Struthio camelus: one gene and its partners. The protein of the gene in region 3 purifies or fractionates together with the protein of the main gene of each other region. This does not show direct contact. Links are inferred from orthologs where the notes say so. Each region holds a gene or a part of one and is shown on either strand. Other genes may lie near its edges.

Region 1 (3,740 bases), on a different chromosome or scaffold from region 3:
CAGCACAGCCACTGTGGGCTTCTCTTCCACATCAACAGCGTCTCCTCCTAGGAAGGGAGGCTCGCAGAGGTCAGTGTTCTTCTCCTTCCATCTCCCTTGAGCCAGTCTGAGCAGCTGCTCAGGTGCAGACCTCACTAGCAAATGCCCTTCAATAATGGAGAGAAAACTCAGGATGCCCAAGGAACTCTGTGCAAGTCGGTCTCTTTCTTTGGACAGATAAGATGGAGCATCCCAACTTTAGAAGAAAGATCCAGACTTACAGCAAAGCCTGAATGGGAGCTCTCAGACTGCTACCTCGTCCCTCGGGCAGACCGTCAGCCTGATCCACCGAGCCAACCTGTGGGACATCTTTTAAGACTTTCCTACAGCATCCAGGCTCAGGGAGGTTCCCCTGTATGAACTGTACAACCACGTCCCAGGGTGAATTACAGTTCCTTTACTATTCACGTCCCTATTCCCTAGCACCCCTCCAAAATTGTAGCACTGTCCCAAGCACTCTCCAGGGCGCTTCCTGATGTCCTTCAGTATTTCTCTTAGCTGCAGTCTCCAAACACAAACCTCTCTCACTCCCTCCCCAACTCACTTCTTCCCTCCAGAACCAGCCGCTGGAGCCAACAAGCCACCTCAAGCACTTCTCCAGCCCACTTCCAACACCACTCCCTGGGCTGAGCATTGACCTTCATGAACTCTCTGCAGTTCCTCTGCTGTTTCATAACAGCCTTTGCCCTCACCATATTCGCAGGTTAAAAAGAAAAGTGCGTGCTTGTGCATGCGTGTGTGTGTCTATATATATTTTTAAATCCCCTGCCACTGCCTCTCTGCCTCTCCTCCATGCAATCCCAGGCCCCACGTCCCCTTCCCTCCCCCAACCGCATGGCATTTCTTAGGCCTCCACCCGCAATGACCCCACCACCACAGCCACTGTGCCTGGACATGCTGCGAGGAGCAGGCTCCGCTTCCTCACTGAACCCAGACAGCTTCAGCCTCCCCCTGAGCCAGTCCAAATTCAGACGCAACTCTTCCTTCAAGACACCCCAGTCCTAGAGCTCATCTCCTCCCTACCGGGCCCTTCTCTTCAGGGCTCTTCCTTTCCCCCAAGAGCCGTTCCCTAGCTCGCCCTGCCTCCTTTCTGACACCCCAGGGCACCTGGCCTGCCCCACAGCTGGCCATTTCCCACTCCTGAAAACACCCCCACTTCCCACACAACCCCCCCCCCAAGGGCTCCCCTCACCCACCTCCATTCCTCCCACGAGACCCCCTATAGCCCCCTCAAGGCTCCCCCAGTCACAAGACATCCCTCTGCCCTGCCACAGACCCTCCATCCCTCCCTATAAGGCTCCCTCCCAACCCCCCACAGCTTCAAGGCCTTGTCTTAAAGCTCCGCAGGGCTCCCCCCCCCCCCAACACCCCTATAGGATTCTCTATTTTCCCAGGCTCTTTCTATAGCGCTCTCCTCATACCCATTGGGTCTCCTCATCCTCCCCCCAAGACCTGTGCCTACTGTCCCATAGGGCTCCCCATCACCCCAAGCCTGCCCCTATAGGGCTCCCCTCACAGGACACCACCCCCCTGAACCCCACAGGGCATCCCTACCCCCCAAAGGACCTCACCATGCTGTCAAGGCCTCCCCTAAAAACCCCATAGTGCTCCCCCCAACCCTCTGTAGGGCTCCCCCCCATCTCCAAGCCACCCCCTTATAAAGGCTCCCCACCCCCTCATAAACCCCCCCTTAGGGCTCCTCACCCTCCCCAAACCCCTCTATAGGGCTCCTCACTCCCCCCAGAACCCCCCCCGGCCTCTTCACCCCACCAAGCATCCCTCTATAGGGCTCCTCCCCCCACAACGCTCCTACGAGACTCCTCACCCCACCAAGAGCCCCCCTTTAGGGCTCCTCACCCTCCCCAAACCCCTCTATAGGGCTCCTCACTCCCCCCAGAACCCCCCCCGGGCTCTTCACCCCACCAAGCACCCCTCTATAGGGCTCCTCCCCCCACCAAGAGCACCCCACAAGGGTCCTACGAGACTCCTCACCCCACCAAGAGCCCCCCTTTAGGGCTCCTCACCCCCTTCCTAAGACCACCCCCCCCTTAACGCTCCCCTCCCAGCCCCCACCCGGGCCGACCCATACCTCCAGGCCCTTCCCACACCCCCCCTCGTGGGGCTCCCCCCCGAGCCCCCCAGGTCCCGCCGACCCCCGCTCAACCACCCCCCGCCTCCCCGCCCCCCCTCCCCTCCTATAGCGCCCCCGCGGCTCCCCTACCTCCCCCCAGCACCTCGCCATGCCTCCCCTTAGACCCCCCCCCTTCCTCCTCCTCCTCCCCCAGGCGCCCCAGGCCCGGCCGGCACTGCCGGGCCCCGGCCACCCCGCCGCGCCGCGCCGCGCCGCGCCCGCGGGCCGGTGGGATACTGAGCGCCAGCATCTTGCTGGGGTAGTCGAAGGCGACGACCTCGCCCTGGAGGCGCTGCTCCTGGCAGGTGCGGCACGACACCTGGCTGCCCACACTGAAGTACTCGCCCGGGGCCGCCATCTTGTCTCAGCCCCAGCAGCGGCCGCCGCGGCTCGCCTCAGCCAGGCACGGCGCGGCGGGGCGGGGCCGGGCCGCGCGCCGCGCCGCGTCACCGCGCGCGCGCCGCCGCCGCCGCCGCGGGGCGGGGTGACCTTGCGGCAGGGGAGGGGGGGACCCGCGCCGCCGCCGCTGCCCCCCCCCTCCCGCCGCCGGGGCGCCGCGGCTCGCCGGGCTTCTGCCCGAGCCCCGCCGGGACCCGCGGCCGCGCCGCCTCCAAGGCAGCCGGGCACCGCGAAGGCGCGGCGCGGCGCCGCGTGTCCCTCGGGTCGCCCCGTAGCCGGCCGGCCGGCGCCGCTGGGGCTGCTGGGAAGTGTAGGCGGAAGGGGCGGGCGGCCGCGGCTGGCGGCGGGTGAGCGCGGGGGACGGACCGGGGCAAGAGTGGGGGAGGGGCGGGGGGCCGGGGGGCCGTTGGGCGGGAGGGGAGCAGCGGGGCTTGGGGGGGGGGCACTTGGGGAGGGGGGCAGCTGGGTGTGGGGGGCAGTAGGATTGGGGAGGGGGCAGCTGGGTGTGGGGGGGTCATTGGGGTGGGGAGGGGGCAGCTGGGTGTGGGGGGCAGTAGGATTGGGGAGGGGGCAGCTGGGTGTGGGGGGGTCATTGGGGTGGGGAGGGGGCAGGTGGGTGTGGGGGGGTCATTGGGGTGGGGAGGGGGCAGGTGGGTGTGGGGGGCAGTAGGATTGGGGAGGGGGCAGCTGGGTGTGGGGGGGTCATTGGGGTGGGGAGGGGGCAGGTGGGTGTGGGGGGGTCATTGGGGTGGGGAGGGGGCAGGTGGGTGTGGGGGGCAGTAGGATTGGGGAGGGGGCAGCTGGGTGTGGGGGGGCCATTAGGGTGGGGAGGGGGCAGGTGGGTGTGGGGGGCAGTGAGATTGGGGAGGGAGCAGTTGGATGTGGGGGGGGTCATTGGGGTGGGGAGAGACCATTGGGAGTGGAGGGGCGATGGGACTGGGGAGGGGGCAGCTGGGTGCGAGGGGGACCATTGAGGGGGGCAGTTGGGTGCAGGGGGGACCACTGGGGCTGGGGAGGGGGCAGCTGGGTGCGGGGGAGGCAGTAGAGCTGGCGTAGGGGCAGTTGGGGGGGGCTATGACAGGGGAGGGGCAGGGGCAGCTCAGGGGGGTGGCCTAGGTGACAGCCACCCCCCAGGGAGACTCCCCCCCCATCCCCTCCAAGGCAGTGACAG
Region 2 (3,740 bases), on a different chromosome or scaffold from region 3:
GTAAAAGTGAAGAAGTTCAAAACCGCCTGCGTTAAGATACTGTGTTTCCTCAGCATATTTTCAGCACGGTAAGACACTTCCAGTGTGACAGCAGGTGTAAAATTTGAAATCTCAACTCCATACAAACAGTTTACCTATAAGGACACCAGCGGATCAGTGGGTTGAAAGGTCAGTAACTTCCCTCTCCAGTAAGTTAGCTATCATAGAAGACATTTTACTCTACTTGTGAAAAATAGTCATACGATACGGATCATAATTCCATACAGTGAGCCCACATCTACCACTTAGAACATTACAAGAACACTTAAAACAGGAAACAAGGATTACACTTCTTAAACCCAAGCTAATAGTTTCCGGAATAGGTTCAGAAGAAGGATGTTTCCTAAAGAATGAAAAAGCTTTCCAGAGGCAGATATGGCCCTGCAGGCGTACTTATGTTCAGAATGAACAGAGAACGTCTTGCTAATTACAAATTAACTCCAGAAGCAAAAGTTGCCAGTAACAACACCTTCTTGGCTAAGAATGGAGGTTGACAAACCCTTTACCTACTCACCAAGCTGAGGTAACACAACTATGCTACTCGCAGGGACTTGGATATACAGAGTAGTGCTTGCTTGCTATTACTTCATTTTAAGTCTCCTACAGGCCATCGAGTAGGACAGTGCAGCCTAAATTGCAGAGTAACCATTTCTACCAAGCTGATCTTACTTTACTAGTGCTCCCCAGTTAAAACTGGCAATAAAAGAAACAAGAAAAAGGAAAAGAAGATATACCTCAGGCAACAGTGAGTGCTTTAGTAGGATGTTTGCCCCAAACATCCTACTATGACAAGTTGTCTTTCTCTTTTTACTGGTCCACCCAATTACAGATCAAAGACACTGATCTGGCTTTAAATATGAAGCTTGAGTATAAGAAGTAGTGGACTTGCACAAGTACTGCGCTAAGAACAAAATAATTTATCCTGTTTCTCAAGAGATGAAAACTAGCTTTAGTATCTTTACACTTCCTGTTGTAATGAAGAGGAACGCTTGTACACTGAACTTGAAATGCCTAATATATAATGAGGGCTCAAGAACTGCCAAACCCACATGGAAGGCTACAATCAAAAACCTTGCAGGTTGGAGTCAGTCGGTCTAGCTTCAGATCAAGCAACAATCTCATCTTCTCTCATCCCACAGAGTGTTCTTTCCTTCATGCAGCAGTGCTTGGCACAGCGCTCAAGATCCTAAGCGTTACTCAGCTAACCAGGGAAGTTAAAATACTCATGCTAGAGGACGTTCCTATGTACCCACTCTGGAACTGTAATGACTTTTACTTTACCCATCCAGGATTAAGGGAAGGAAATGCCAGAGAATACCATATTCACCTCAGACGTGAAATAAGAGACGCTCACAAAAGGGCTGCTCAGGGTATCTAGATCTGCAGAATAAAAGATGCTTGCAACTTCAGCCATGTTATGAGTGAGAACAGAAAAGCTCGGGGTGTGATTGGAGCAAAAGGGAGCACAGAATGGCACGGTCCATGGAATTAGCAAGACCTGGGCTGGAAAAGGTTTTAAAGCCAGTGACGCTATCACAGAACCAAACCCTAAAAGGAAAGGGGCAGCCCAGTGAGCTGAGGATAAAAAACTAAGGTCGCTTCTGCAGTACAGACGAGGCTGGGAAACAGCATCCTGTACACGCCGGAGTCCACATACCTCTAGGGGCTCACGGAAGGCAGCGCACGAATCGAGCGACGGGAAGGGATGAAAGGGACGAACGCTGCAGCAGAGCACGAAGCAACGCAGGGCCCGGGGCGTCACGCCTGGGAGCGGCGGCCGAGGGGGCGCTTTTTCCTCCCGCCTCCCGCCAGCGCCCGGGGCGAGGCGGAAGGGGGAGCGCCGCCGAGGCGACGCACCGCCAAGGTGACGGCGAACAAAAGCCTCCCCCCGCGCCCCGCTCCGCCGCCCCCGCCGCGCACCGGGCGACGAGGCGGGCCGGGAGCCGCCGCCGCCGCCGGCCGGGCCCGGGGCCGGGGCCGGGGCCGCACCGAGGCAGGGAAGGGCTCTCGCCGGGCGAAGCCGGGCCCCGCCGCGCCGCTTTCCTCCCCCCCGACCCCGCGCGCGCGCGCGCGGGCCGCGACCGTTAAACGGCCGCGACCGTTAAACGGCCGCCGGGCCTACCTCCCCGCTCGCCCCTCACTCACCCAGGGAAAAAGTCTCGGTGTGTGGGGCGGGGGCACGACCCCCCCCGGGACCTGATCGGTGTCGGGCGCGGCGAGCCTGTCCGCGGGCGGGTGCCGCAGCCGGGGGGAGGGGGGAAGGACGGGGCGATCGGGGCGCGGCGGCGGCGGCGGCGGCGGCAGCAGCAGCGATGTCACGGCCGGGCGGGGGAGGGGCGGCCGGGGCTCCCGTGCGCGCCTGCCTGTGCGTGCGGCCGTGCGCGCGTGCGGCCGTGCGTGCGCGCGTGCGCGCGCGTGCGCAGAGGGGAGGGGGCAAAAGCGAAGGGAGGGGGAGGAGAGCGGGCGCGCATGCGCCGCCGCGCCGGCCGTACTGTCTTGCCCCTGCGTGAGCAGGCAGGAACCCCTTTCGGGCGCTCTCCGCCAATCCCGTGTGGCTTGCCGCGGTGACGTTCGGGGGGGGGGGGGCGCCGGCTTCCCGCCGAGCCCGCGGGGGCGGAACGGAGGTGGGCGGGGCGCGCGCCGACCGTTAGCGGCCCAACGGGCGGCGGGGCTCGGGGCGCGCAGCCCCCCGCGGGGGCAACCGCTTTCCGGCTTCTTGGGCGGCAGAGAAGGCGGTGGGGCGAGCGATGGTTCGCCCGAGTGCCGCTGAGGTGCCTTTTCCTCAGCTGCTGCGGCTTTGCTATAGGAGTTCTTTGTACTGCTTGACTTACGTTTTTTTCTGTTTTGCAGTAATATCAGAAGGGTGTGTTTCTCCAGCAGGTGCTTACTGCGCTGTCGAGTGTGGTGGAGTCGAGGTGGGGGCGTCCTTGGTGTCAGTGCGGCTAAGCAGCGCGCGGGCTTGTTGGCAGTCAGGCTCGCTATGTTCACGCCGGTGTTTTCACCGTTGGCCCCTTTCTCTTTTTGGAGGCTGATTTCAGCTAAATGGTGCAGTGTTTTGCATTTGGCAGGACTCTCCAGCCACCTAATAAATAAGAGGATGCAAATGAAGTTGGACTAAAAGCAGTGTCCCATGCGAAGCTTTCCCCTGTTCATAGCTTGCTTAGTTCAGGATTTCTCAGCAAAATTGAGGAAGCCCTTTTTCAGTATGTGTATTTGAGGTATACTAAAAAAATAGCTAATAGTTCTGAGGTTCAAATATTCAAATATCAACTCAGTAGGCCAGCAGCAAACACAGTTACCTCTGCAGTACCTCCTTCCCAAGGTAAGACAAGCTAGACTTGAGGGTGTGTGCCAGGGCACAGCCAACACCTACTCTGGGAGCAAATCACCTCTTTCACTGAAGCTCTGGATGTAAGGAGCTTGGCAATCAAAATTTCAGTCTTTTAGAAGGAGACCCTTGATTTTTGGTGCCTGTTGCCCAGCTTCAGCATTTTTGATGAGTTAAGTCTTTTCTGCTTGCCACTGGCCTCAGAAAGTACTTTAAACCATCCTCCCTGGCAAGGGCAGGAGGTACAATTTTCCCAAGAGCTGTTACAATCACCACCTGTAACTTGTATTCAGTAATGGAAATGGTATGGACTCTGTGGGGGCATGTGTAAAGGTTGCAACAAAGAAGCATCCTAGGAAAAGAAGCCGCCCAG
Region 3 (3,740 bases):
CACGCCGCCGCGCGACCCGTCCCGCACGCGCTGCGGCAGCGGGTTGTACTTGCTCTCCCTGCGGAGAGAGGCGAGGGGCGCTCAGAGGGGCTGGGGGCGCTCGGAGGGGCCGGGGGGCGCTCGGAGGGGCCGGGGGGGCCGACCTGGCGGCGGCCAGGCTGGGGCTGTCGCGGCCGGAGCCCTGGCGCTGCACCGAGCTGTGCTTCTCCTCCTCCGTGCGCCCGTCGTCGTTCTCCATGGCGATGCGGAGCCGGTACTGCGGGCTCGACTCGATCTCCCGCGCCAGCTGGGCCGCCCGGGCCTCCCGCTGCCGAAACTCCTCCGAGTTGTCCTTCTCCAGCGGCACCCTGCGGGGGGGGGCCCGCGCGGCGTCAGCCCGGCCAGGGGCTCCCCGCGGCGGCGGCCGGACCCCCTGCTCCCCCCGCCCCGGCCCTGCCGGCGCGCTCACGTGTAGGAGGAGAGGCTGCTGTCGTAGGTGGTCTTCACGCCGTAGGTCTCCTCGTTGAACTTGAACATCTCGTTGGGGTCCCAGCCGTTGGACTGCGGGAGGAGAGGGCTCAGAGGCCGCCCGCGCCGCTCGCCGCCCCCGCCCCGGCCCCCGCCCCGGCCCCTCACCATGTCCGAATCCAGGTCGTAGTCGTCGCTGTTGCTGTCGCCCCCCTCCCAGCGCTGCAGCACCTTCTCCTTGTGCTCCCCGTTCACCTTCGAGTTCATGGCGATGGCCGAGTCGGTGAACTTGTCTGCAGGGGGGGCGGGGGTGAGGCCTGGCCGTCGCCCGCCCCCCCCCCCCCCCAACGCGGCTCTACCGCCCCCTCCCCGCGCACCTTTCGTGGCGTAGTTGAAGTCCACGTTGCGGAAGTGCACCAGCATGACGTCGGCGGGTTTGAAGACCATGGTGTCCACGATGTCCTCGCGCTTGGGGCCGGAGGGCTGGTCGGGGTTGCGCCGGTGCACGGCGTCCACCGCCAGCTCGAACTGCGGGGACGGACGGACGGACGGGCGGGCGTCACGGCGGGGCCGGGGGCGTCAGCCCGAGGCCGGGGCCGCCGCTGCCCGCACTCACCTTGGAGCTCAGCGTCTTGAAGATGCCCTCGAAGGTGCTGCCGTTCTTCACCTTGACGTCGCAGGTGGAGCCCTGGGCGGGAGAGGGGGAGGCGATGGACCGCGGCCCGGCCCGGGCGCCCCCCAGCACCGCAGCTGCCCCCCCCAGCGCCGGGACCGCCCCCCCCAGCGCCGGAGCCGCCCCGCGGACTCACCACCACGGCCGTCAGGAAGTGCAGCATGCGGGAGTTGTTGTAGACGCCCTCGAAGACCTGCGGGGAGGGGGGCGGAGGGGTGAGGGGCTCCCCCAAACCAGCGGCCCCCGCGCCGCCGCCGCCCCCCCCCGCCCCGAGCTCGCTGGTCACTTACCGGCGCCTGGGGGGGCCCCTTCCCCGTGCTCTGGCCCCTGAAACGCAAATGAGGGATGTGCCGGGTCCCCGCAGCCCAGTGGGGCCGGGGGGGTGCAGCCTCCGGGACCGCGGCGCGGGCGGAGCCCGGACACTTGGGTCCCTGGTCCCAGTGATGGGGGGGCCCGGACACCTGGGTCCCTGGTCCCAGTGATGGGGGGGCCCGGACACCTGGGTCCCACTGATGGGGGGGCCCGGACACCTGGGTCCCTCTGATGGGGGGGGCAGACAGCTAGGCCCCTGGTCCCACTGATGGGGGGGTCTGGATACCTGGGTGCCACTGATGGGGGGGGAGTCCTGGACACCTGGGTCCTTGGTCTCCCTGATGGGGGGGGGCCCGGACACCTGGGTCCCTGGTCTCCCTGATGGGGGGGGCCCGGACACCGGGGTCCCCCTGATGGGGGGGGGCCCGGACACCTGGGTCCCTGGTCCCCCTGATGGGGGGGGGGCACACTGGCACTTGTGGCCCACCGGACACCTGGGCCCCTTCCACCCCCTTGGGGGAGGCCGCGGCGGGGGGGGGGGGGCGGGGGCGTCCACCCCCCCACGTGCCCCTTCCCCCCGCCCTGATTGGCCGCGCCGCCGGCCAATCAGCGCCGGGCTCCCTCCTTTCCCCCCTCCCAACCCCTCCAACCCCCCCCTCCAACCCCCCCCTTTCCCGGCCCGGCAGGACCCGGATGTTACCTGGTGCCGCCGCTTCCTCCGGCGCCTCCCCCCCCCCCCGCCGCGCCGCCGCGGGCCGCTCCGCCGCCGGGGCTGAGGCTGCCGTTAGGGCTGGCGGCGGCGGCGGCGGCGGCGGGGGGAGGCGGCGGCGGCGGCGGCGGGGCCTTGCGGGCGGCGGGCGGCGGCGCCGCGGCGGCGGCGGGGGGCTGCGGGGGCAGCGGCTGCGGCTGCTTCAACATGGCGGCGGCGGCGGCGGCGGCGCGGCGTCTCCCTCCCCCCCCGCCCGGGGGCGCGCGCGGGGCGGCGGCGGCGGGTGGCGGCGGCGGGTGGCGGCGGCGGCGGCGCGCGCGGAGCCGGGCGCGGCGGAGCCGACCGGGGAGGGGAGGGGAGGGGAGGGGGGGCCGGGGCGCCGGCGGCCGCAGCGCGCGCGCCTCCCCTCGCGCCCTGTGTCCCTCCGCACAATGGGCGGGGAGACACCGCGCATGCGCGCCGCGCCGGCTTTTCCCTCTTTTTCTTTTTTTTTAATAATAACCCTTCCCCGGCCTCTTTCGCTTTTTGCTCACGTGACGGCGGAGGAAACGCCCCCCCCCCTTCCAGCACCGGCTTCGCTCCACGCGCGTTTCCTCCGCCGGCAGGGAAAAAAAAAAAAAAAAAAAAGTAGTCCCCCCTCCCCTCCCGCCGCGCATGCGCGCCGCCGCCACAAAGGGCGCCGCTCCCGCCCCCTCCGCGCTGCGCATGCGCGGCCGAGGCTACCCGCCTGCCTTCCCCCCCAACCCGCAAAATCCGGCGGCCGCGCATGCGCGCGCCGAAGGGGGTGGGGGGGTGGGGCGCATGCGCAGTGCGTCGCCTCTCCTCGCGGCCGGGTTGGGGGGGGCGGAGGGGCACGTGAGGACACGGGCGCCTCCAGTGAGATCCCTCCGCCGGCCGCATCACAGCGGGGGGGGGGCGCGGGAACGAGTCCCGGCTCCTGCCTCAACCCCGCCGCCCCCCCTTTCCCCCCCCGGCGACTGTCGCCTCTCAGGTACCGGCGGGAAGAGAGGGTGTTGTATGTCGTCGTCCCCCCCCGCGCGGTGGGGTGACCGGGGTCTCCATGGCGACCCCCAGCGCTCGGGGTGGGGGGGGCGCTCTGGCCCCGCCCGCCGCTCCGCGCTAGAGTTTACGTCTCACGCAGGGCGACGCTCTAGTCCTCCACGCGCTGGCTCTATGGTGTTTACGTTAGTACGGAGCGGGGGCTCGATAGCCTCGCCTCTCTATGGTGGCAGCGGGCGGCTGAGACAGTCTAGGCGTGGAAGAAGCCGAACTGGCTCTCTATGGCTCTCTGGGGGCCCTCTGCCTGCCTCCGTCTTCTCAGCTTTATGGTTCTCCTAGAGCCGCTCTAGTTACCCTCAGCCTTCTGCTCTATGATCAGCGGGAGCAAGAGGCGCCGCCATCCCGTCTCTATGGTGAGCAGCCGGGGGAGGGGGGGGAGGGGGCGCTCTGGTCTCCTCGCCCTCTCTACGCTCCGGCGAAGAAGGAGGGGGGACGCTCTGCACCGACTTGCCCCACCTCGATGCTCCCGGGGCGGCCGCTCCGGTCAGTGCTGCCCCCTCCCCACGGTCACTTGGGGGCGCTCCGACCCCCCCGCGCCAC

The links.
Region 1: the proteins of ATXN2L (region 3) and LSM12 purify together in Homo sapiens (affinity purification with mass spectrometry; 4 studies listed by BioGRID and IntAct, with this or other methods). This does not show direct contact. The link is inferred for Struthio camelus from reciprocal best matches to the Homo sapiens genes ATXN2L and LSM12.
Region 2: the proteins of ATXN2L (region 3) and G3BP2 purify together in Homo sapiens (affinity purification with mass spectrometry; 4 studies listed by BioGRID and IntAct, counting the BioPlex papers as one, with this or other methods). This does not show direct contact. The link is inferred for Struthio camelus from reciprocal best matches to the Homo sapiens genes ATXN2L and G3BP2.

What each region holds. Positions count from the first base shown.
Region 1 is NC_090966.1:4,695,975-4,699,714, reverse strand, and holds the start of LSM12 (protein LSM12), read right to left. Parts: upstream 2,630-3,740; 5' UTR 2,529-2,629; coding exon 2,408-2,528; intron 1-2,407. UniProt on the Homo sapiens protein: Nicotinic acid adenine dinucleotide phosphate (NAADP) binding protein. Confers NAADP sensitivity to the two pore channel complex (TPCs) by acting as TPC accessory protein necessary for NAADP-evoked Ca(2+) release.
Region 2 is NC_090945.1:8,183,064-8,186,803, reverse strand, and holds the start of G3BP2 (ras GTPase-activating protein-binding protein 2), read right to left. Parts: upstream 2,453-3,740; 5' UTR 2,185-2,452; intron 1,820-2,184; exon of another isoform or gene 1,697-1,819; intron 1-1,696.
Region 3 is NC_090973.1:104,341-108,080, reverse strand, and holds the start of ATXN2L (ataxin-2-like protein), read right to left. Parts: upstream 2,910-3,740; coding exon 2,886-2,909; intron 2,276-2,885; coding exon 2,133-2,275; intron 1,448-2,132; coding exon 1,411-1,447; intron 1,314-1,410; coding exon 1,257-1,313; intron 1,136-1,256; coding exon 1,064-1,135; intron 976-1,063; coding exon 825-975; intron 741-824; coding exon 616-740; intron 541-615; coding exon 449-540; intron 348-448; coding exon 144-347; intron 59-143; coding exon 1-58. UniProt on the Homo sapiens protein: Involved in the regulation of stress granule and P-body formation.